Lepisosteus oculatus: one gene and its partner. The protein of the gene in region 1 interacts with the protein of each later gene in a biochemical or structural test. Links are inferred from orthologs where the notes say so. Each region holds a gene or a part of one and is shown in the gene's direction. Other genes may lie near its edges.

Region 1 (11,648 bases):
AATGAGTGCTGTAATTTACTACCATAGACTACCAAAGTTAAAATTTACATTGACATTTGTTATATTATGGATGTAGTTTTACAAGTCATCCATATAAATATGGCTTTGTCTGCTTTCCATAAAAATATTTCACTACTTCATATATAATGCAGTCTGCAGCAGTTGGTAGTGTAAACACGTGAACAACATTTGAACTGCAGGTCAAGTGTGTCTAAAAAGCAAAATATCTTTAACAAAAAACAAGACACAACAAAGTTATGAGAGAAGAAAACCTACACACGCACTAACTAACCTATGGATTCCTCCACATTCTTCTGTACTTCCTGGAGACAAAACCATACCATTTTTTAAAATCTAGTTTAAATTAAGAATTTGTTTTGAATTAAATTATGAACAGACTCTTGTCCAATGGAATACAACGGGATAGATCTGGCTACTAGTAAAAAAAAAAGATACACCGCTTATATAGTTTGGGCTTGAACAAAGACTCAAGCCTGCAAAGCAGTTCAAAGTCGAGGGCCAGGACAATCAATTCTGTCTTTACAGGTTTTTGAGGGATGGTTAATTAGCAACTGATCAACAAACAGGTGATTTGACTTCTTAGCAGTTTGAGCTATTAATTAGAATTTAAAGTGTTAGGTTCAAAATTGACTCTGGACATCGAGGACTGTCACTGACTATTCCCGATCTAATGTAATGGACAATGCCTAATCTGTTTTTTTTTTTTAATATAGTCATCCTATGGGTTTATGACATAGAACGAGTGCAGGGGAACTAAAACATCAAACTACTGTGATTTCAGCTGAAACCTGCATTGGAAATTCCAGGCTGACTGAGGCGATCACCTCGAAAAACTGTCATCGCGGGGGGAGAGAAAGATTTTTGAAAAAAATCTCATTTTTTGCTGGTCAGAAGGAAAAAGGATCAAAAACAGCATTTTCGGTCGTGAATAAGGGGAGAGTAGTGCGAGTCTGGGGGGTGGCAGAGGCTGTGTAATCAACTCAGCACACCAGGCATTGAAGACACGAGATGCCTGAGGATGTCATTTTTATCTTCCCTCACCCCAAGTTAAAATAAAACCACTGAGTTTGAATCACTTAAGGAGCCTGTTAATCCCAGGCTGGTTGGGATGAAATATATATCCAGATGAATCGCGTGGAAATGACCGTAGGGCGTATGAACTGCCCGGGGACATGAGATTTAAACAGAATCGGTTAAGTGTGAATAACTATGTCATCCTTGTATATGCTGCACTGGACTAGACGCTCTTTAACAGACGCTGGCTCATGGCAGAGGATGTTGAGGAGATAGGAAGTGTGTTGCTAATGTCTTTTAACTCTGCTCACGGGATATAAGTATAAAACGTGCTGAATTTTAAATAATACTCGTTTACACGTACGCATCGCTAGGTATACTTCTTTGTGTGTATGACGTGAAACTGAACATTTTTTTTTTTGCGTTGGGGCAGGAGAGGCCTAATATACGAAGCACTAACGCAATAGGCTACCCTTTAATGAGCTTGGTGGATTTCAATTACTACGGTTTTACACATTTTAGAGAAGAAATATTGTGCAGTTCAGAGAAGCTGGGGTTTTTACCGTTCAAACATAAAAACTATACTGTATGTGACTAAATAGAAATTCATAAGAAAAAACAAATTCACTAACAACAAAAATGAGACAAATTCAGTGCATATTTATTTAAAGCAACAAGACGCCGAAAAGCAAATGCTAGATGTGGATTTAAAATGTAACCTACTTAAGAGACAGTGCAATTGAATACGTTTTAAATTGTAGGCACTGCTGAGCAGATATAGGAATGCACTGTTGCAATAAAGAGTATAATTAATGTGTTAATTAAATGTCACTTTTAAATCGTTGAAGTGCTTAAAGTGTTTTTAAAGAGATGTTATCAATAAGGATATTAACTACAAGGATACCGTTATTTTAGTGACTGATAATATTTCAAAATGATCTGTCTATAAAATTGTGAAGTGGTTTGTTTATATGAGTTATCGAGTGAACATAGTTTTTTTCTTGTCAGCCTTTGAAGACAAAGTTAGCAGTGGTAGTTTTAATTAATACTCAAACAGGAATACTAAGAAGTTACCTTGTATAGAAAATAATATGTCGATATTTAGACTACCGGTAGCTTAACCTAAGGTATGTTATCTCGCCTCAAAAGACACAATAAATGAATTTTATTCACATAAAAAATGGGTTACATATTAAGTTTGGTTTATTTCAATGTTATCTACCATACATAAAAAAGATGCTTGCATATCATTATAAAAATGTACTTAATATACAGATGGGAAAAATGCTTTAGTCAATGAAAACGTATGCGTGATTTTACCTGCGTTAGGTGAAACGTCTTCGTGTAGAGAGGTAGAGAGGGAAAAGTTCTCGAACTGGACAGATTTCAGAAGTCATGTTCTTTTTTCACAGAGAATAAAATAAACTTCAGTTCTCTTGGTACCTGATCCGTTTTCATCTTTCAAGATCTCCAAGTCTGAGTCTGCTCTTCTCCGACGCAGGGTGTAATCAAGCCTATTTCCCAATCCCCGGCGAAGAAGTGACGCGCATGATGGAATACACACAACCAATTCCAGATTTCAGGTACACTTTCTCGCGGATTGAAGTCTGGCTTGAAGTTTTTTAAAAAGCACAATAACAGACCCCAAAAACTCTCAAAGTATAGACGGTCACACAATGACAGTGGAAGATTCTACTTCTACAGAAAGTGAACACATTCATGCTCATAGTGTAGTTGGTTTTGATGAAATGTAGACCCAGAAACGGTGAAATTGGTCCCATACAGTACCTTCGCCTGTAGGCAAAGTCAAACTGTAAAAGACGATTCTTGTGTCCTTGAAACAGCAAAGACATTGAAACTAACCAAATGTTTTTTTTTCCACTATATATTGAGATGATTATCATCTTGAACTTCACTAAGAAGAACATTTTGGCAAGCCGTGCAATGGAGATGAACCAGTCTTTATGTGCAAGTGTTGAGATAATGGGTTTTCTGTTTTTTTTTTTATATACTGAAATTAGGTTTCTGTACATAAAACAAACCTTGAAAACTGAGCATATCACTCCCGTTAATCCATTAGCCATGGGGATCAAATGTCACTTTTGAAAATAAGGAAAAAGATTGTCATATGACTTTTTATTCTTAATATAGTAATATTGTGTTTCAGTATAATCTTTTTATCGATAATACGAGTCTGTTAGTACAATATCTGAATAACATATATCTTGCGACTACAAATTCAGTTTTCTTTTTTCACTAATATTTTAAGGAGTTTTAATAATCTATACAAAAACGCAAGCTGCGCATAGAGTTTTCCCCTTGCAAATTAACACATAATAGTTTTACAAGAACTTTATGCATTTTACTAGCAGTCGAGGTTTTAAGCAAACTGTATGTTACCGATGACCTTCTGGCGTTTTAAAGACAAAAAAAAACATGAATATTTTAGAAATGGATCTTTCGTGTTTATAACAGGTCTACTTTAATGAAATGACTCAAGGATTTAAAAAAATATTTAAAAAAAAACAAGGGCCGAAAACTTATTTTATTTCTAAAGAATACGACAATCTGCACTTTAAAATCACACCGGAGCTCCTAATTTCTAATGTTATTCATCAAATTGAACATTTTGTTTTCACAGAATAAATTGGTCTACTTTAAAATAACTTAAAATGTATAATTTCGTTACATCTCTAGAATTAGGTTTCGGGTCGTTTATAAACTATAATAGAGTTTCTTGCAACTTTAATATTTCTGTCTTAATCATACTTTGAGAGTGTTTACTTTTTCAGCAATTTATAAGCGAATTCCCAGATACTAGAAGTAGTCCTAACTACGTAAACGACATTTTCGCACTTTTTAATCCGTTAATTTAAAATCAACTTTCATTATTATTATTTGAATACAGTTGTTACATGCTAAATTGTAAATGTCTCAGTAAAGAGAGAACTACTTTGTTAACACGTGACAGAAACCCCGTTTCTAGCTTATTGGCTCACTTTCTTCCATTGTCTCGTGTTCACAAAAAGGAAAACATTTGAAGTATCTTTTTACATTTTTAAAAGGTAAAATGTTAATTGACCTTTCTGAGGTTGAGAGTCTTTTAATCTTTCTTCATTTAGGTGTTTGGTTGTGCTCACAAGTGCCTCTCCCTGCTGTGTTTTTATAAAGTGGACAAAGCACCAAAGAAAGCCCAATTAAAGGCTGGTGTTATGCGTTTTATACAAAAAAAACCGTCTGGTGTCGTTTTAACTGCAAATGTCGTGTTCCCCAGCAAAAACCTAGCCTGTAAATTCTTTTTAGCAAATACAGTATATACATATGTTATAGGCACAGCAGGGGCAGTACCTCTATATGTTATTGCAAGTAAATTCATCCTTAAGTGTCAGAAATGATCTACAGTAACTGAATTCAGGCTCAATATTATCGAAGCCCAGGCAACTACCATAAGCAAAATATGTAGTTTCCAATTAAACTAATGCCAATTATATATTCGGTATTCAGAACTCCCATTATAATCAGTAAATGTTTGGAAATCACCTGCATCTATTCACAATGTTCTGATCACTCTGTCTCAGATCTGTGAAAACTTCAGGACCTTTTTCGTGTTTCGGGTTTCAATGTGAGAAACCCTATTACGACTGAAAGGAGGATACACATGGCCAACCTAACTTTTTTTTTAACGTCTCCGTTTATCCATTATTAAAACTTTGTTTACGTTATAACGTTTCCACAAATTAATTTCAAAACGTAATTTATAGAATATTAATTGCCATTGTTACTCCTTTGTATGAATCTATCCCCACTCGTGTAGTCGGAGTCTCAGCTTGGCCATGGTGTAATTGCTAATCCATTTAAAATGCACCTGGGTCGCCCAAAGCTCTGTAATTAGCAAAAAGACTCCACGCGCTTCTATTGCAGACCGTGAAATGCGCTGCGCTCAGTGCAAGAACAATTATACCACATTAGAATGAATGAGAATTTAATGTTTTCGATACGTTTTTTTTTTCCCCAGCACGAAAAGGTTCATAGTGCCTATCGTTTTGGATGTTCTCTTCTGGACATTTATTTAACGCACGATTGCTTTTCACCATATTGAGGGGGGGAAGGTTATCAGCTAGCGAAGATGTTGACTCTTCAACAAAAAAGGCCCAATAAGACAGAAGAGCAGAAACAACAAGGGGGGGGTGCTGTCTAAAACTGGATATTTTAACACCTCCGATGAAACATTTGGGAAAATTCGATAGTTCGTCTCGAAAAGCCTTTGTTTGGCTGAATTCAAAGGCTACAGGCTACGGTGAACGAGCCCCATCCCTTTGATTGATTAAGGCCCTGAATAAGTCGAGTTTCTTGACTGACAGAGAAGTGAATAGGCTTCCCCAAATAATGAGTACTGTGGTGAACGGGGCTGGCACGTCCCTGCCGAAGTAAAAAGGGATGAGTTTTCTGGCACTTACGAAGTTATAAATAAAGGGTCCCCACAATTGCACCTTCTTCGGGGACAGACAGCCTTTACAGCACTCCTGGCGTCGTATCCTGCTGTGGCCCTCCAGTCCCTAGTCAGACATTTCGCTTCTTTTATTTTAACTAGTCCAGTGCAATCTAAATGCTACTATAAATTCCTAAGAATGGACAAACGCTAGAATATGTGTGTGTGTGTGTGCGCTAGTGGAGACAGACTCTAAATTACAACACATTTATTTTATGACCTCTGCGAGACCTAACCCCTGTAAGCGGATTCTGAGTAAGCTGCAGGCATCTTTTGCTCTTTTCGTTACTAATTCGAAAACGGGGAAAACTTGGGAGTGGGAGAAGGCACGATTTCTTCGCCCTTATAATAACGACAACCCGAGGCAAAGCCCGTCCGGTGTGAAACGCACAGCTGCCCGATCATATCTGTAATTAAAGACCGGTCTTGATAACACGAAATCGGTATCTGTTCTCACCCGAATCTCACACATACCTTCTTAGACAATGCGTTGCACTGTGACTACAATATGCTCAGGACTCTGAAACCGAGTCATGGAAGAAGAAAGTTGACACATCCACCAATCACGCTGCACTTTCTCTAACCGGGACATTCCTTCTTTTAGCCAATCAGAGGCGAGAAAAACCTGATGGAGCAAGGGGTGCAACAACTATTAAATGTTTCACTATTGCCCATAGAACCATTCCCTCGATCTGTGTCAACAACAACGCCACTAGTATATGAAGTTCTTCATCTAGTGACAGATCTAACCCTGTTAGATCTTCAGGACCGCGGAGCACCGCACTTGGTAAACTTGTCGGGAATTTTTACTTTTGCCAAAGTTTTTTTTGTGCGGGGGTGGGGGGGGGGATATTACATCATTTGGCACAGAAGGAAGCGTCTCGTAGCTTCATAAGAGCGAAACGATTGCAGCCTGGACTACAGATACTTTTTAAAGAGAGAGAGAAAAAAGAAACATTACTGCGTTTTCTGCTTCCACACCTTAAACGCAAGGTCACAAGTTTATCGAAGTGCGCAAAGACATGACAGCGATAGCTGGGGCAGTGCCAAGGATGATGAGACCCTCGCCTGGGCAGAATTACCCGCGTAGCGGATTTCCACTTGAAGGTAAATTGACATTTTCAAAGGGTTGCAGAATCCCAACTGTATTATTATTATTATTATTATTATTATTATTATTATTATTATTATTGTTGTTGTTGTTGTTGTTGTTATTAATAATTACATGCCGTTACAGGACAATGCACATGTTATAAAAACAATAAGAAAAGACACAGTGGACAGCACAAATGCATCGTTTTCTGAGAACTTATAAATTATTGCTATGTTTAAGAAAACTGCCAATTTCTGATACTACAGTATTTGTTTTAACAACACACAAAAAAACACGTGTTTTAAAAATGTTGTCTTGTTTTGTCCATTCAATTTAAATTCGTTCCACAAATTGGACGTTCGTTTGTTAAATGTGAGATGTTTTCAAATATGTTAAATCAAAATATTATACATCAGTAATTTAGAAGCAAGTGTTGCCACAATTAACTAATACTGGCTCGGATTTAATCCATACGTATTAAACGTATTACAAATTTATTTCTAAATGTCTTTTGAAATAGCAGATCTCATGCCTTGATAGGCTAAAGCCAACAACCGAAAGCAGTTAAAATGTAACGTTTTAAATTAACAATGTTAACAAATGGAAATGGTTATACCGATCTAGAAGAATTGACAGCCGTTATCACTTTTATTTCTTTATTAAGTTTCTACCCCTTTAGGTCAAGGAAGAGTAAATCAGCTTGGTGGAGTTTTCATAAACGGCAGACCTTTACCAAATCATATCAGGCACAAAATTGTGGAAATGGCTCATCACGGTATAAGGCCCTGTGTCATCTCACGCCAGCTCAGAGTGTCCCACGGCTGTGTGTCAAAGATCCTATGCAGGTATCAAGAGACAGGTTCTATCCGACCCGGAGCTATCGGCGGAAGCAAGCCCAAGGTGAGGCAGGAAGACGTTTTTTCTAAGTAGAGCAGAATATAGAAATCGTGATATCCAGACATTTCTTTTAAGAGTCCTTTAAAATGTTAACGCCGTTATATCAACGTTTGAGGCATCTCACGTCATCAATTTCCGTCTTCGAACTAACTCCATGATTTCAAGTTTTAAAACTCATCTAAATGGCACTTCACAATGTGACAGTGTTTACAGTTTTTTTTTGTGTGGAAATGCATAATATAAATTCATACCTACAATAATATATATATGTCGGTATTGATATGTGTTCCCGAAAGTAATGCACTACAAAAAAACTTGTATTCTTTTAAAGTGCATCAAGAGTGGAAATTATTTTGTCTGATGCAAACTGTATGCATATATAATGGAGAGATCATATTTTTTCTGCAAAGTGTACTCTTCCACAGGGTATTAATGCGTGAATTAATAAATTAAAAAGTATTAATAATCAGCACGTGAACACATCAATGTTCCATGCAATGCGCGACAAGTGTTGCAATCGATACAATCAATAGCTCTTCATTATTGTTAGAATTGTTATTATTGTAAATTCTTATCACTTAAAGCAGGTGACAACGCCAGACGTGGAGAAGAAAATTGAGGAATATAAGAGAGACAATCCTGGGATGTTTAGTTGGGAAATACGTGATAAATTACTGAAGGATGGAATTTGTGACCGAAATACTGTCCCCTCAGGTATTTCAAGAAATGTTTTCAATGCAAACTCACTTAATTCTTGTTTCGTTATTTTGGATAGACACACAGTCAGTGGATATTGTTTTTTGCTAAGGCAAAACATGTATTTATAGTTACAAGAAATAAAATCAAAAGTATCTCGAATTTTCATTTAGTTGTTAAGTCTTTTCATTTGAAAACTTCCGTTTTACACTGTACTTTTGCTACATTTAATTTGAAATCCAAATGTATATGTATACGCCTAGATAGAAATCCAAAATTCCTAAACCGCATATAACAGGTGTTTTTTTAACCGTTTGTTTTTTGTTAAATTTTCCTGTGTGGGGTTTTTTCCACACCTGTATAATATTGAAACAGGAGCATATTAGGTGTATGGATGTACGTAGGATTGTTTTATGTGAAAATGTATTATTTTTATTGTAATTAACATTTTACTCTATATAAAATTGCAATCAATTGCATTATGGCTTGGAATATATTTTATTAATTTTAATTCGTTACTTTTTACTTGTTTAAGTGAGCTCAATTAGTCGAATTATGAGGAGTAAATTTGGAGGCAAGGGTGAAGATGAAGACGATGATGATGAAATCGAAAGAAAAGAGTTTGAAGAAAATGAAAAGAAAACGAAACACAGTATCGATGGGATCCTTGGAGATAGATGTAAGTTGTGTCTTTTATTTTGAGAAATAAAAAGGGATATCTAGTGATTAAAGTAGTATCTCAGTAAATGTAGCTAGCCTGCTGTTAATAAAAGTAGTTAATCTGGTGTATACTAATGTAAGGAAGTTATTGTGGATATTTATTTTGTCACAAGCAGGTCTTATGTATGCTTCGAAAAAATATTTTAACATTCGGCGCAATAATGTAATACGTGAGAGCACGATCGATATTATCAATGTCTTTGTGGGGTTTAAAAATAAAATGTAATTGTAATGTAGCCCAGAAACAAAATCGAATTAGAAGGCACTTGCGTTTCAGTGCAGTGTGTGGGAAGTTTCCTACCGTTGTGTTTTGAGAGCTTGTCATGTCAGGTGGTAAATGTTTTCAGTAAGTGTTGAGAGTAATTTAAACAAGAGGTGATAGAGGCGACATCAAAGCACTCCCGTAATGGATAAACTGTTATCGGCCTCGAAACCTGTTGATGCCTTCACGCGTGTGTTAGGCCGGGACACCAGCCATGGAATGATAACACGGCAGTCATTTAGAAAGTGACTGCGTGTGATGCGTATCGAAACGAAAACAAAAACTACTGAGAGACAATACTAACATCCTATATAAACATCAGAAGTAAAATTGTTAATTTTACCGATTTCGTTTGCGTAGACTCGGATATCTTTTCGATACCAAAAAAAAAAAAACGAACGCAGTGATAATGGTTTTTTTTTCCCTGCTTAACTTATTGGTTTGTACATTACAGAGTGATCAGGTGTCATTTAATAAGAGTGGGTCTCCCAATCATTTTTTTTTATCTTGCGGTTGTTAAAAAAAGTTAGGAAAAAGTCCTAGGAATGATCGTCCGTTCGAAGTCAAGGAGTGTTTCATTTGTCTTTCTTCGTGTCGTTTGGCAGTATTCATGTAGGTATATTTTGAATGCTTCGTATATCTGATGATTCAAAAAAAGCTGGGATTTTTAAAAGAACGGTCGTCAACTCGAGGGCGGGCGCTTTAAAAATCAAATCGACTGCTTGTCCATATTGATACAGTGTCAAGGTATCAGAAATATCGCGGACTCGACCTTACTGCAAAAGAACGCGCTTGTAATTTGCGATCCAGAGCCTAGTCTAAAGTCTAATGGATGTTCTGGTTAAAAAAAAAACGCGAAGGATTCAGTCGGTTGAACCCACTAATAATTTTCTGGTTGTTGGCTTTAGCGGCTACTGTACTTAAATATTTCTGCAAACGGGCCAGGGAGGAGACAAAAAGTCCCAAATGAGCTGATCAAACATTTGTACAACTGTTCCATCTTTTACAAAGCCGGCCTTCAGTACACAATCAACACTTGGAGATGAACTTGGAAAACAAAGGAGAGAGAGTCCATTGAAACTCACACTTCAGCTTTTCGGTGACAAAGCCCGGGCTCGCAGCAGCTTGGCCAGTACAAAAGAAGGCAACCTTTTTATAATTCAGAGAGAAAAGAAGAGAAAGCAGGCCAACAAAGGGCTGAGAAAAGACATTATGAGCTTGCAATGAGGGATGAATTATTCAGTGATCTCCAATAGCTGCAGCTCCTAGCAGTTTTATGGACTCTCCACCGTGGAAAAATGGCCGTTTTCACCTACAAAATGTTTCTTTTGGAGTCTTTTAGGTCGTCTAAAGATGCCGACTGCCATTCAAAGGCACAATTGAAACCATTCTTTAAAAAGCAGAAGCAGAAGCATCCCATTTCATGCGCACCCCATTGTTAATTTAACATGTTTGAAACAGCATTTGTCAGCTTTTATAAAGACCTGTTGCGCTTCTTGAAAATGTTTGCAAAATGAGAGATGAACATGCATATAGCCTAAAACCACAAATTCGGAAATATGAACTACATGCTAGATGTTGTATCAGACATGTTAGGTACTATTACTACCAAAGGTCCGAGAAATGGAAAATAAATTATGAACAAAGAGACCAAAAGCCCTTCTAGTACTGGATTTATTATGGAACTGAGGAAAGTGTCCCCCACAAAAATAAAAGGCTAAGGCTGTAACAAACACAATGTAGCCTGTACTAAAGTCTTTTAGATTATATATCGGAATCTAAAAAAACTCCACAGCAGCAGCAACAACAACTATAATAATAATAATAATAATAATAATAATAATAATAATAATAATAATAATAATAGCCCACCACTCGTTATTACTTATAATATCGGCTAATATAAGAACTTGTCCGTTAAGGATTAGCTGTATTAATTCCGTAATACCCTCTTCTGGCCCTCTTTAACATTAATTGGGTCTTCTAAATGTTTCTGTTGCTGAGCTGTGTGACATTTAATGATTTGGAGAGTGTATTAAAGAGTCCTCTCTTGAATAGACACCAATGTTTCCCCAGAGAGGGGAACTGGGCCCTGAGGTGTGGTCACAATGGAGTCGCCCTAGTCATGCGCACTGCTACAATATTCACCCATCAAACTCACCCCCGAACCGAAAATCTCTTCAAGCAGATTAAATCGACTCTTTTATTTCTTCTCACTTTCATCTCAGACCAAACCCGCCCCCTTCGCCTGGGGCGCACATTCGTGAAATTTCTGTACCCGTTTCAGGAGTCTGAACAAAGGGAAGCGGTTCACTCGAGTGGGACAAATGCTTGCCGGCTTTTCCTGTTTGTCATTTTTTTAAATCATTTTTTTTCTTTATGCTGTAATGGAATTAAAGACAGCTGATTACTGTAGTTTAGACACGCGACAGGCGAACTCAAGATTAAATATTTAG
Region 2 (11,617 bases), on another chromosome or scaffold:
CTGTGGAGCACTGTGTCGTCTTCCGACTCCGCTATTTTTAACGCCGAGAACGATATTCGTTTAATTTCTCTTCGCACAAAGTAAAAAAAAAATACTTTCACGGCGGGTTTTGGGAAGAAAGGGAAGGACAAATATCTAATCGAAACGTTGATAGAGGCGCTCGGACCTGTAGAGCAGCTGGACCTGCGCCGTCAGCACGCAAAGCACTGGAAAGTCAAGTCTTATGTTGAACACAGGATATGACCACTAATTTCCCCCTGTGCCCCTGACTGATGGACAGTGTATCACAGTGTATCTCTGTGCGTGTGTGACCTCCTGTCCGGTGCTGTTTTCGACAGGTCTGTTCCACAGCGTTTCCGCGGTGTTTCAGTTCAGACCTTCGATGTCTCACCGAATGTCGCGCCTACACGCGGGGACAGCGATCTCGATCGCGATTGTCGGCGCTAACGGACTTGACGCTTCAGTCGGGTTCAGCAGACTCCTCTTTTCCCCCTGAAGAACTGCCCGTGACAGGGAAGAAAACAAACGAAACCCACCGCTCCCACGCCCGTCTTCTTCAGCCGGCGCGGCTGTTTCGCCACACCACGCGGAAGACACACGCATTGTGTGCGCGTGCAGTGGGGGGTGTAGGGGGGGGTGATACACTTTCCTCCTCACGTTTCTAATGGACTGGGACCGGGAATCCCCCAAGGACAATACTCCCCAGTTGCAGTTTGAAACCCACTCACCCGTGGGGTACAGACACCCCAACAGGCCTAAACTGGGATTTCAATTGGAAAAGCGCTGCAATTAAGACCGCGGGGTGAATACGGATCAAAGGAGGAATATTTTACACAATTCGTTTCGGGAGTGTCTTTGGAGGTCATCCGCGGTCAGCCCTGCCTCTGGACCGTCTGTACCGAGCGGAACCACAGGAGAGACGCCGAAACGCGACGGCGTGGCGAGCTGTCCACGCCTCGCGCTTCCGCAGACACGGGAGCCGCGCGCCCCACCTCCTGCTCGTCCCCGCGAGGCCCGGCCACCCCGAGAGCCACGAGGGGCATCGACAGCGGGACCCCTCCCCAGACACGCGCACGCCCGTCCTCTCCCTCCGGGAGGAATTTGCGCTCCGACGGCGTCGCCATCGCGAAGCTTCAGTTTGTGTTGTTTTTGTTATGGTTTTTTTTTTTTTGCTCCGAAACGCTGTAAAAGTTTACAGGCAGCAGCGTCGAGCATGAGGCTGGGCAGTTCGGTAAACAGAGTGACCCTCCCCTCACCCCTCTCCCCTCCCCACCCCCTCCTTCACCACCACCACCACCGAATGCACGGTTGTGAAACAGCACCTGGTTAAGACGCAGGAGTCGGCTCGTCCCCGGCGCACCTGAAGTCGCCCCCTCGGAGGCGCGCTCTCGCTCTCGCTCTCGGGCGCGGGCAGGGTCTCGCGGCAGCGGCGCTCCAGGTGTCCGCGGGGCAGGAGGGCATACCCCCCCCCCACACCAGGCCCAGATCCCCCCAGAGCCGGGACCCCAGGGGCCGGAGAGCGCAGCGCTCAGCCGGCGTGCCGAGCGCCCGTCCGGGAGCGTCTGTGAGCGCGCCGCAGAAGAAAGCCCTTCAGCACCAGCCCGTCTTTCTTTTCAACAACACGGCTGTTTTGTTTTGTTCCAGTTTTTTTTTCCTTTCATTAAGAGGTGGTGGTAGTGCGGGGGGGGGTCAGCGGCGGTGATCACATGATGTCAATTCACCTGAGCAGCGAACAAAGAGGGTACAGACAGGAGAGAGAGAGAGAGAGAGGGGGAGAGAGGAGAGAGGGAGAGGAGATTCACTCACAGGCCAGGGGACACTCTCACCAGGCCACACACTCAAGCAGAAAGTGGGATTCTGGGGAGGAGAGAGAGGGAGCACATAAGAGGTATTGTTGACCAGCACAGCGCCTGTGTTTGTCTGCATCCGGACCTCAGACCGCACTCGCTGCCTAGACCCGGCCCGGGACAGAGCCAGGAGCCATCCCGGGCTGGGCCGTGTCCGTCCGGCGGCTCTGGGAGCAGGGAAGGTGCTGTGGCTCCTCTGTGGGGGCTGGGTTTCCTGCTGGGACGCAGGCAGGCCGTTCCTCCCCGCACTCTGACAGGTGCTGTGGGCTAATAGCACTGGGCCACTCATACAGCTCTGCACACAACACACAGCACTGGGCCACTCATACAGCTCTGCACAAAACACACAGCACTGGGCAACTCATACAGCTCTGCACAAAACACACAGCACTGGGCCACTCATACAGCTCTGCACACAACACACAGCACTGGGCAACTCATACAGCTCTGCACAAAACACACAGCACTGGGCAACTCATACAGCTCTGCACAAAACACACAGCACTGGGCCACTCATACAGCTCTGCACAAAACACACAGCACTGGGCAACTCATACAGCTCTGCACAAAACACACAGCACTGGGCAACTCAAACAGCTCTGCACACAACACACAGCACCGTGCGATTTGTATGGTACTGCACAAAACACACAGCACCGTGCGATTTGTACGGTACTGCACAAAACACACCACTCTGTGCAATTTATACACTACTGCACCAAACACACCACACTGTGCAATGTGTACAGTACTATACAAATTATACAGCACTGTGCAATTTATAAAGTACTGCACAAATTAAACAGCATTGTGCAATTTATACGGTACAGGACAAAATACACAGCACTGTTCAATTTATGTAGTACTACACAAAAAACACAGCATTTTAAAAAGTATTGTCCAAAATAAACTGCTTTGTGCAATTCATGCAGTACTGCACAGATCATAAAGCACTGTGCAATGTGTATAATAGTGCACCAAATGTGTAGTGTTGTGAAAATAATACAATAGTGTGTAACACTTATAGGACACTCACGTTAATAACATGCCAGGACTAATGCCATTCCTGGTGATTCAGAATGTTGCACAAGAGCACAGAAATCAGCTCTTTCTGTTCTGCTTAAGGACACCAACTCAAAACTGGAAAACAAGCCGCTGTTTCCTGGAAGTGCCCAGGGAGCGTTCAACTCCCTCCAGTGTGAAATTCCACTCCGTGAGCTCCTTCTCCCTGGGAAGCCACACGGATCTCCACCCTCTCGGGACAGTCCCCCTTTCCTGCATCCAGACCCACGGGTCACGGACAGGGATAGCGCCCCTGTTCCCCCACCCATCCTTAGTGGGACGAACTCCGACAACGGTTCCATAAGCAGCCGGCCTGTGGCTCCGGCCCCCTGGAATGAGGGAAGGGAAAGGCCATTCATGCGGATCTCCTCCAGTGACATCAGCAGAGCCGATCCAGGACACCGGAATTCCGAGGAGGGATGTGCACCCCTGGGGGAGACAGGGGCTGCCGGCTGTCCCCCAGTCTTCACCCAGGTGAGGGGAGCGTCCTGCAGTCAGAGGTCTAGAGCCTGGTCAGATCACACCCTGAGCCATCAGGAGCCCTGGGGGGCTCTGTGCACTGTACGCCATTAACCTCCCACTCCAATTACCCCAGCCCCCCCTCCTCCGCCCCGGGGGCATCATCTCCAGGATGACACATCAGACACGCCAGCTATCTGTTCCCAGGCCCGCCGCTAATTAACTCTCTGGCCCCTGGCAGCTTCAAAGGAGCGCAGAATCGCAGCCCCCCGGCTGGGCCCGGCAGGGTGGAGAATCGGGCCCGGCCCGCGATGAAGTAGCGAGCCTCCCGGCCCCAGCTCATTCCGACGTCTCGGCTCTCCCCCGGAAAACCAGAGGCGGATCATCCTGCCAATTCCGGCCTTCAGCCCTGGAGTGTAAGCAATCTCAGACACTGCGGCCGGGCCCGGAGCCTCTACCCACAGGCACCCGCTCAGGGCTCTGTCTCGAATCCTGAGCCTTCAGCTCGGGCCCCGGGGGCCCCGCAGCCTGGTGTCGTCTTGCCCAGCGCCGGATGTCCCCCCTGCGCTCTCCGCACCCCCCGGTCCGTCACGGACGGTCGCCGAAGCCCGTGCGCTTGGCTCGCCCGAAAAACCTGCTCGCCCCGTGCGAAGAGCGTGGTGCCATCGCCATCCAGTCCGAACCCTGGGGTCCCCCCCCCGCGTGGCCCTCGTGCACCCTGACGCGCCTGCTGCCCCCTCCCGGCGGGAGCCAGCAGGGAGCCCTCGCTGACCGGCGGCACTCTGTGCCCAGACAAGCGCACCCCCACTCGTGCCACAGGACAGCCCCTTGCCCAGTGCCTTCGCTGGCTGGGCGACCCGGAGCGTTCGAGCCGCTGAACCGGTGGGCTCCTGAGGAACCAGGAGCAGCTCAGCAGCAGCGAGCGTCAGACCCGACCAGGGTCACAGGGGCGATCGGCGGTGCTGCCCAGGAAGCACGATGTGCGATGATCCCCGACTGGCACGTTCAGACTTCTCCAGCGAGCCAGGGGAAGGAGGGGGATTTACTCTGGGGGTCCAACGGGCTGGGGGGCCCCCCAGAGTGTCTGTGTACAGGGTGCACTCGCGAGAGACCCTCCTGCCGGCCCAGATGGGTCCCGAGGCGGCGGGTCGGACTGGGGTCTCCAGCCCCACTCTGTGCCCCCTTGCGTAAGGGCTGTGCTGAGCTCTTCCCACGAGCGACTCTATTAATAACTCCCCTGCCGCTGGAGCTGGGGAGAGAAACGTTAGGAACCGCAGAAGATCGTCGGCGTTTCTGGCTTCCAGTCACTATAAAAAGTCACACACTCTCCAAAACAGGAGCTGATAACTTCAGGAAAATGTAGATGAAGATTCTGAGATTTTTTTGCTTTTAATGAGTGAGTCGAATCGAACAAGCTCCTCATTCAGCGCACTACTCTGCCACTGGACGTGCTTCTCTCCTGGAGATCCCAGCCAGGGTCCCAGTCCAGGATGAGCCCCTACATCCCAGAGATCACAGTCAGGGTCCCAGTCCAGGATGGGCCCCTACAGCCTGGAGATCACAGCCAGGGTCCCAGTCCAGGATGAGCCCCTACAGCCTGGAGATCACAGCCAGGGTCCCAGTCCAGGATGAGCCCCTACAGCCTGGAGATCACAGCCAGGGTCCCAGTCCAGGATGAGCCCCTACAGCCTGGAGATCACAGCCAGGGTCCCATGCTGGATAAGGTGACCATTCTCCACTCAGGAAGTAAAGACATTGGGTCTCTTCAGTGGTTCCTCAGCAAGCGATGCCACGTGTCTGGAACCTGATTGAAAGCCCTTTATCACCTGACTGCCCACTGATCACAAGTAAACGTCATCACTGAACCTGTCTGTGCTCATGGACAGCCTAGCTCCGCTAGGATGTTTATCTCTTTTGTTTTTGCGTGGAAGGGCTTTTTTTATTTTCCTCCCAAGAAGGCAGATTTTGCCCAAGCAAAACCACCATCAGCACATTACATTTTGGGGGCTCGTCAAGTTGAAAAAAATAAAAACAAGGTGACAGAACTTCTGCGCCCTTTCGCCCCGCCCCTTCCTCCCCCTCCCCGTAGCCCCGCCCCCGCCCGCCCCGCCCCCGGGGCTCCGGCCAATCCGCGGCGAGGCGGGGGGCGTGGCCCGGCGGCCCGGGCCGTTCCAGCCGCTGTTCCTTTAAAGGTTTCGCCTCGGTTCCTTTTCAACTTTTTTTCCCCCCTCCCCTCCCGTGCCCTCCCCCCCCCCCCCAACCGCCACCTCACCCCTCCCTCCCGCCTCTCGCTCCGCACACAACGGAGCCCTTTAAGCCGGCGCGCGACACAGAGACGGCATTCATTGGGGGTAGAGCGAGCCGGCGCGAGGGGGCTGGGAGCGTCACCGGGAAATTCTAACTCAGCGCTCGTGCGGAGAGGAGCCTTCTCGCGCAGCACAGTAAGAGCACCGCTGGTGGGGTCTCTCTCTCTCTCTCTCTCTGCGTGTGTGTGTGTCTGTGTCTCTGTGCATCTCTCTGCCCGTCTCTGTCTGCCACTCTCCGGCCCCGGAGACCTCCAGCTGCCCGGCCGCGGGTCCGATCTCCTGCTTCCTCCTGCTTTCGGGAGAAAAAAAACGACACAAAACCGAGACAGATATCAGGAAACGTTGCTTCGTGCATGTTGTTGGCAGAGGAGGGCAAAAGCAGGGCAAACAGGACCCAAAAGTGCAAAGGGCATTATTACTATTAGTATTATTAGTATTAGTATTAGTATTATTATTGTGGTTGCTGTTGTAGTTGTGGTGGTTGTTAGCTGCGGCGGTCCTGTTGTCGTCGTGGTTTGTGTTGTTGTTGTTGTCGTTGTGTTGATGTTGTGATCGGTGCCGCTGGCGCCCCGGTGAATGGCCGGTTTGAACTGACTGAGCCGAGGGCTCGGGTCACCGGAACCCCGACACGCCAGCGGGTCTCGCCCCGGGGCCTGTTTATTTGTACCCGGTTCGGTTCTGCCGGACCTTCCAGTCCCCCTCTCCGCCCCACTGGGGCCGGGCTTTGGGGCCGGTTCGGCGGCCCGGCGGAGGGTTCCGTCTGTCCGAGCGGTCCGGTGGCGTCGGAAGGGTTAAGGCGAACGTCAACTCGATCTCGTTGTCACAGTCGTTGAAAAGTCTTTCTAAATGGTGACAAGGAGAATATGCATTAATATCATTAATTTAATATCATACTATCAATTATGATAATATTCTAATTCATATATTATTATTATTATTATTATTATTATTATAGTCTCTCGAACAGTGACAGCCCTGAAGTAATGTCGTGGTGTCTTGGGTCAGAGAAACACATTTCCGTGACAATGACACGTCCTGCTGCCCGGGGCCGATACGCAGAGCGGGGCACAGGTGGTCACTGCTGGTGGGCTTGCTCACGACCGGGGCTCGGGCTCACCTGCGGTCCGCTGGGCATGAGGAAAGGTTCCGACAAACGGGGCTCCTCTCTCCCCCACACTCCGGTCTGCCCGGACCGAGAAAACTAACTGCAATTGTACCCGGCCTGTATTTGCGTGGGCGACTTACAGGACATTTTTTACGAAATAAATAAATACTTACATTGCGAGTTCTCCGAAGTTCAGACAGGTCCGTGTGTGAAACTTTTAAACAACAGCCCTGTTATGCCCGGGGTTGTTATTATTAAAACTGATAAACACGAATTAAGTGTCACAGAATTTCTGCTCGTTTCTGTCAAGACGGATCTAAAATAAAAGTGATTTACGTATTATATATATTTATCTCAACAGACACTCAATAGGTGCAGTCTGTCCACGTACACTGCGCTTTTACACAGTTATACTGCTCGATTCTCAGAAGTTACAAACCTAACTGAGCCGGATTCATCGATTTTAGTTTCTCCGCTTATTTCTAAAAATCCCTGCCAAGGCCAGGGCAGCCTTCACTCTGACGTGCGGGCAGGACAGACGCCCCGGTTTCAGACGGAAAACGCCCGGTTTTGCTTTGTCACGCACAGAGAGGACATTCCCGCAGCACAGGGGACGAATAAGCAGCAGGAAAAAGAATACAACAGAAAGAAAAAACAGAAAAATGTCAAAGCGTTACGTGACAATAACCGCCCCTGCAGTACCTGTTGAAAGTGTTCGACACGAGGACAGCGCCAAACCGCATTTCACGAGCAGCGTGGAAGCTGGAAGGGTTTTCTAACAATATGAATACCTGAAATTTATTACTTTTAATTCGCAAATCAGTAAATGATTAAGGAAAAATGGTCGAACGAAAAATAATCTATAAACAGGTGCTTCGATTAATACGACAATGAAAAGTAAAATAACCAAGTTCGAGTATTAAAGGTAACCGGGGGGCCAAGTTCATCATCGTTTCATCTTCATCGTTGATGGTGATTCTAATTGCGAGTGAACGATAAAAGCACTATGGGTACCCCAATTCAAACCCTGAATCTCGGGGACCTCCCCCCGTATTTACAGAGGGCGGTCGTGCTCCGTGTAGATTTATTTCCCGAGCTGTTGGGACGCTCCTGCGCTCGGAGAGACCCGGTCGGTCCCGTGAGTCGGGATCAGCCGCTTGGTCCCGGTGGCGCTCCGGACCGGGAAGGGCCGGGCCAGGGACAGGCCAGGGACACAGCGACAGGCCGGACCCGCCCAGGACCTGCGCCACCGTCCGGCTCCTCGGAGCTCTGCTTTCAAATAACATAGCGGCGCAGGACAATTGCCCTCGAACTCAGGCTGATCATTAATTTCGCGATTAGCGCCCTGTGGAGCGGGGCCGAGAAGGCAGGACGTGGGATTTGAAACGACGCCCGAGACATCTAAAGCGTCACACGAATGAACCGCTTAGTTCTCCTCGGCAGTGGACCGCAGGCTGCGGTCCGACGCTGTTCGAACTTCCGGGGTCAAGTTCCTCCTCCGAACTGGGCTCGCGGGTCTTTTGGCTCGAGGGTCAGCGATGACCCCCGTTCCTCGCGGCGTGGCGCTCCCCCGTGGCTCCCTCCCGCTCACGGCGCCCACGGAGCCCCCGCGACACCGCGCCCCGCCCAAGCCTTCGCGACCGTCCCGCCGAGTTCAGGACTCGCTTTCCCGTGGTTCAACCCCAGGCTTCACACCGGCGTGGGGTTAAACCCTCGTCAGGGCCCACGGCACCCAGGACAGGGGAGTGTGCGTGTCGGAATAATACTTCGTGATAATAATGTGATAATACTTCGGGCACAAGGGACGTTTTCAGAAGCACCTACAGGCGCGAAGACCAAGCACTTGTGCAAAAAAAAACACGACACTAAAAAAATATTCGGACTCGAGTGGCGTGTGATCTGGGCCGGGCGCGCGGACAGTGCGGTCACGCTCACTGCAGCGCGAGTCTTCATTAACGCCTAATTGGCCGGAGATGTTCTCCAGCCTCCCGTGTATCCCCCAGGGTCATTCATTAACAGCGCTGTAATTAATCCCTCACTCCGACACCCCGGCGCTACCGGGGAGAGGCGGGGTACCGTCCCCCCAGAACACACAGTGCGCGTACGGGGTCCCCCCCCCCCCCAAGAACAAGACACAGTAGGGGTACAAAGTCCACCGCCTGAACCCCTCGGTAGCGCCCCCGGCACCAACACGAAGCCGGGAGCGGGGAAAAACCGTGCGTGACACGATCCACGCTTGAGGTGAGAGCACACGCACACGCACAGAAGAGGCGATGAGACGGGCGGAGCAGAGCAGACCGTACAGACTGGGTGTGACACAACAGCCGGTTACGTGACGCACGAAGGGGATTTGATGTGACGCCGATTTACACCTGACGTCACGTCTCGCCCGTCCTGGACCCCATTAGATCACAGACCCGTGCGCGCGCCGGTGGGGGGGGGGGTCGGACGACCTGCGCGTGAAGCTCAAGGTGCAGACGAGTGTCGACGAGGGAGCCGAATTAATCGCACGCGTGGGTCGCAGGTGGGCGCGTTATTTCACATTCGATGAGCTCGACACCAAGGCGCGAAATCCGGTTTCGGAGTCCACGTGATGAGTATGGCAAAACTGAGCAGCCGTCGCCGGAACCCGTCCGAGCTCCTCAACTGGACTGACGCGAGTCTCGCCGTCTTCCAAACACGACATGCTTCCTTTCTGGAAATACCTCGGGACACAGGGACACGGGGGGTGTTCCGCTCCGTGGCCGCTCGAACGAAAAGTCAAAACAGCACAGGAGAGGACTGCGCTGGGAAAAAACCCGAACTGAATGTCTCTTCAGTTCTTTATGCTGTAAGAATGTTGGAGGAAAATAGTCTGTTTCATATTAAGGACAGAAAAGTCCACATGATCCTCAAATTGAAACAGTCCTATCTTTCTAACAGACGAATTAATCATTTTTTGTTGGTCACTAATCATGAATATCTCATAATGCAGTAGTATTGATCAAATTAATCATATTATCGCAGTGCAGAGAATCATTCCCCGTTTCTTTGGGCCCTGTAAAGAGTTCGGGAGGCGAGGCGGCGGCCCGCACAGCTGGAAGGGGGGTATTTTACCTTGAGCGTCTCGTTTATCCCTGCTCTCTCTCTCTCCTGGGTGAGGGGGTCCGTGTCTGTGCGAGAAACAGGAGCGAATTCCTCTTCCTGTGCCTGTAGCTCGGGCTCGGCGGCTGGCCCCGCACACACACACACACACAGCCGGCTCTGTCCGCCGCGGCTCGGACCCGTGGACTGGGCACCAGTCCCCGGTGAGCTGGTCAGGACTGCGAGGCCGTCGACAGCGGGCCGGAGCGGGACTCGACACCCCGGGCCGCGGCCTGCCCGCACGGCCAGGCCATGTGAACGGCGGAGCTTCGAGTGAGGAGGATCCGTTTCACCGGGCGGTCGGCTTGTCGGCTGCCCACCGCCCCCATTCTCGCTCGTGTCTCCGTGCAGAAGCGGGGAACACGCCCGGCGTTTCTTCTACATCGGTTACGATTCGCCTGCGAGCCACAGACGCCAAGTCGGGGACATAATCCCGGCCCATCGCTGCGGTGTGCGCAGTGCCCTCCGGTCTGTCTCCTGCAGAACGGGTCCGGCACCTGGGCAGACTCTGCCTGCGGATTGCACGACCTGGACATTTTGGGCTTTTAAACAGCAACCTGGCTTGTTTTGTTGTGCTTGGAGGGGCGTCACTAACACAAAGAGTGCCTAGACGGAAATAATTACCGCCGGTGTCTTCTTCCCGAAATTCCGGAAGTCTCTGAGCGACCTGCGGTCCACAGACGGGACGTGTCCGGTGGGCTGTTTTGGAAAAGGGGGCCCCGCTTTTCCCCAAAAAAGATTTTTCCAAGTAGGGAGCTGGGTCGGCATGCACAGGCTGCAAAGGAACAAGTCGATGTCTATTCCTGCTGAAAAGAGAAGAAAAACACAACGTTTCGGCTGTGGAGTCTTCTCCGGGTGCGACGCCCTCAGGTGTCTCTTTTCTCCTCTCGTCAGCGCGGAATAAACCTTCACTTGTTATTGAGAGCCCAACACAGTTGAGCCTTGCGTGTCCAGTATTCACAGACCCCTGTGTGTGTGTGTTCAGTGCTCACTGACCCCTGTGTGTGTTCAGTGCTCACTGACCCCTGTGTGTGTGTGTTCAGTGCTCACTGACCCTGTGTGTGTGTTCAGTGCTCACTGACCCCTGTGTGTGTGTTCAGTGCTCACTGACCTCTGTGTGTGTGTTCAGAGCTCACTGACCCCTGTGTGTGTGTTCAGTATTGTATTCACAGACCCCTGTGTGTGTGTTCAGAGCTCACTGACCCCTGTGTGTGTGTTCAGAGCTCACTGACCCCTGTGTGTGTGTTCAGTATTGTATTCACAGACCCCTGTGTGTGTGTGTTCAGAGCTCACTGACCCCTGTGTGTGTGTGTTCAGAGCTCACTGACCCCTGTGTGTGTGTTCAGTATTGTATTCACAGACCCCTGTGTGTGTGTGTGTTCAGAGCTCACTGACCCCTGTGTGTGTGTGTGTTCAGAGCTCACTGACCCCTGTGTGTGTGTGTTCAGAGCTCACTGACCCCTGTGTGTGTGTGTGTTCAGAGCTCACAGACCCCTGTGTGTGTGTGTTCAGTATTCACTGACCCCTGTGTGTGTGTGTTCAGTATTCACTGACCCCTCTGTGTGTGTGTGTGTTCAGTGCTCACAGACCCCTGTGTGTGTGTGTTCAGTGCTCACTGACCCCCGTGTCTCTCTCTCCGCCAGGTGAGACCGGATCAGCAGTCGGCGCAGGCGGGCCAGGAGAGGCGCGCGGCGGTTCTCCGGATGGGAAGGACT

The links.
Region 2: the proteins of pax3b (region 1) and sox10 form a complex in vitro, tested with the Homo sapiens proteins (2 studies listed by BioGRID and IntAct). The link is inferred for Lepisosteus oculatus from reciprocal best matches to the Homo sapiens genes PAX3 and SOX10.

What each region holds. Positions count from the first base shown.
Region 1 is NC_090708.1:7,061,707-7,073,354, forward strand, and holds the start of pax3b (paired box protein Pax-3b), read left to right. Parts: upstream 1-6,200; 5' UTR 6,201-6,546; coding exon 6,547-6,631; intron 6,632-7,281; coding exon 7,282-7,517; intron 7,518-8,098; coding exon 8,099-8,228; intron 8,229-8,745; coding exon 8,746-8,889; intron 8,890-11,648. UniProt on the Homo sapiens protein: Transcription factor that may regulate cell proliferation, migration and apoptosis. Involved in neural development and myogenesis. Transcriptional activator of MITF, acting synergistically with SOX10.
Region 2 is NC_090707.1:38,709,055-38,720,671, reverse strand, and holds the start of sox10 (transcription factor SOX-10), read left to right. Parts: upstream 1-5,625; 5' UTR 5,626-5,809; intron 5,810-11,545; 5' UTR 11,546-11,617. UniProt on the Homo sapiens protein: Transcription factor that plays a central role in developing and mature glia.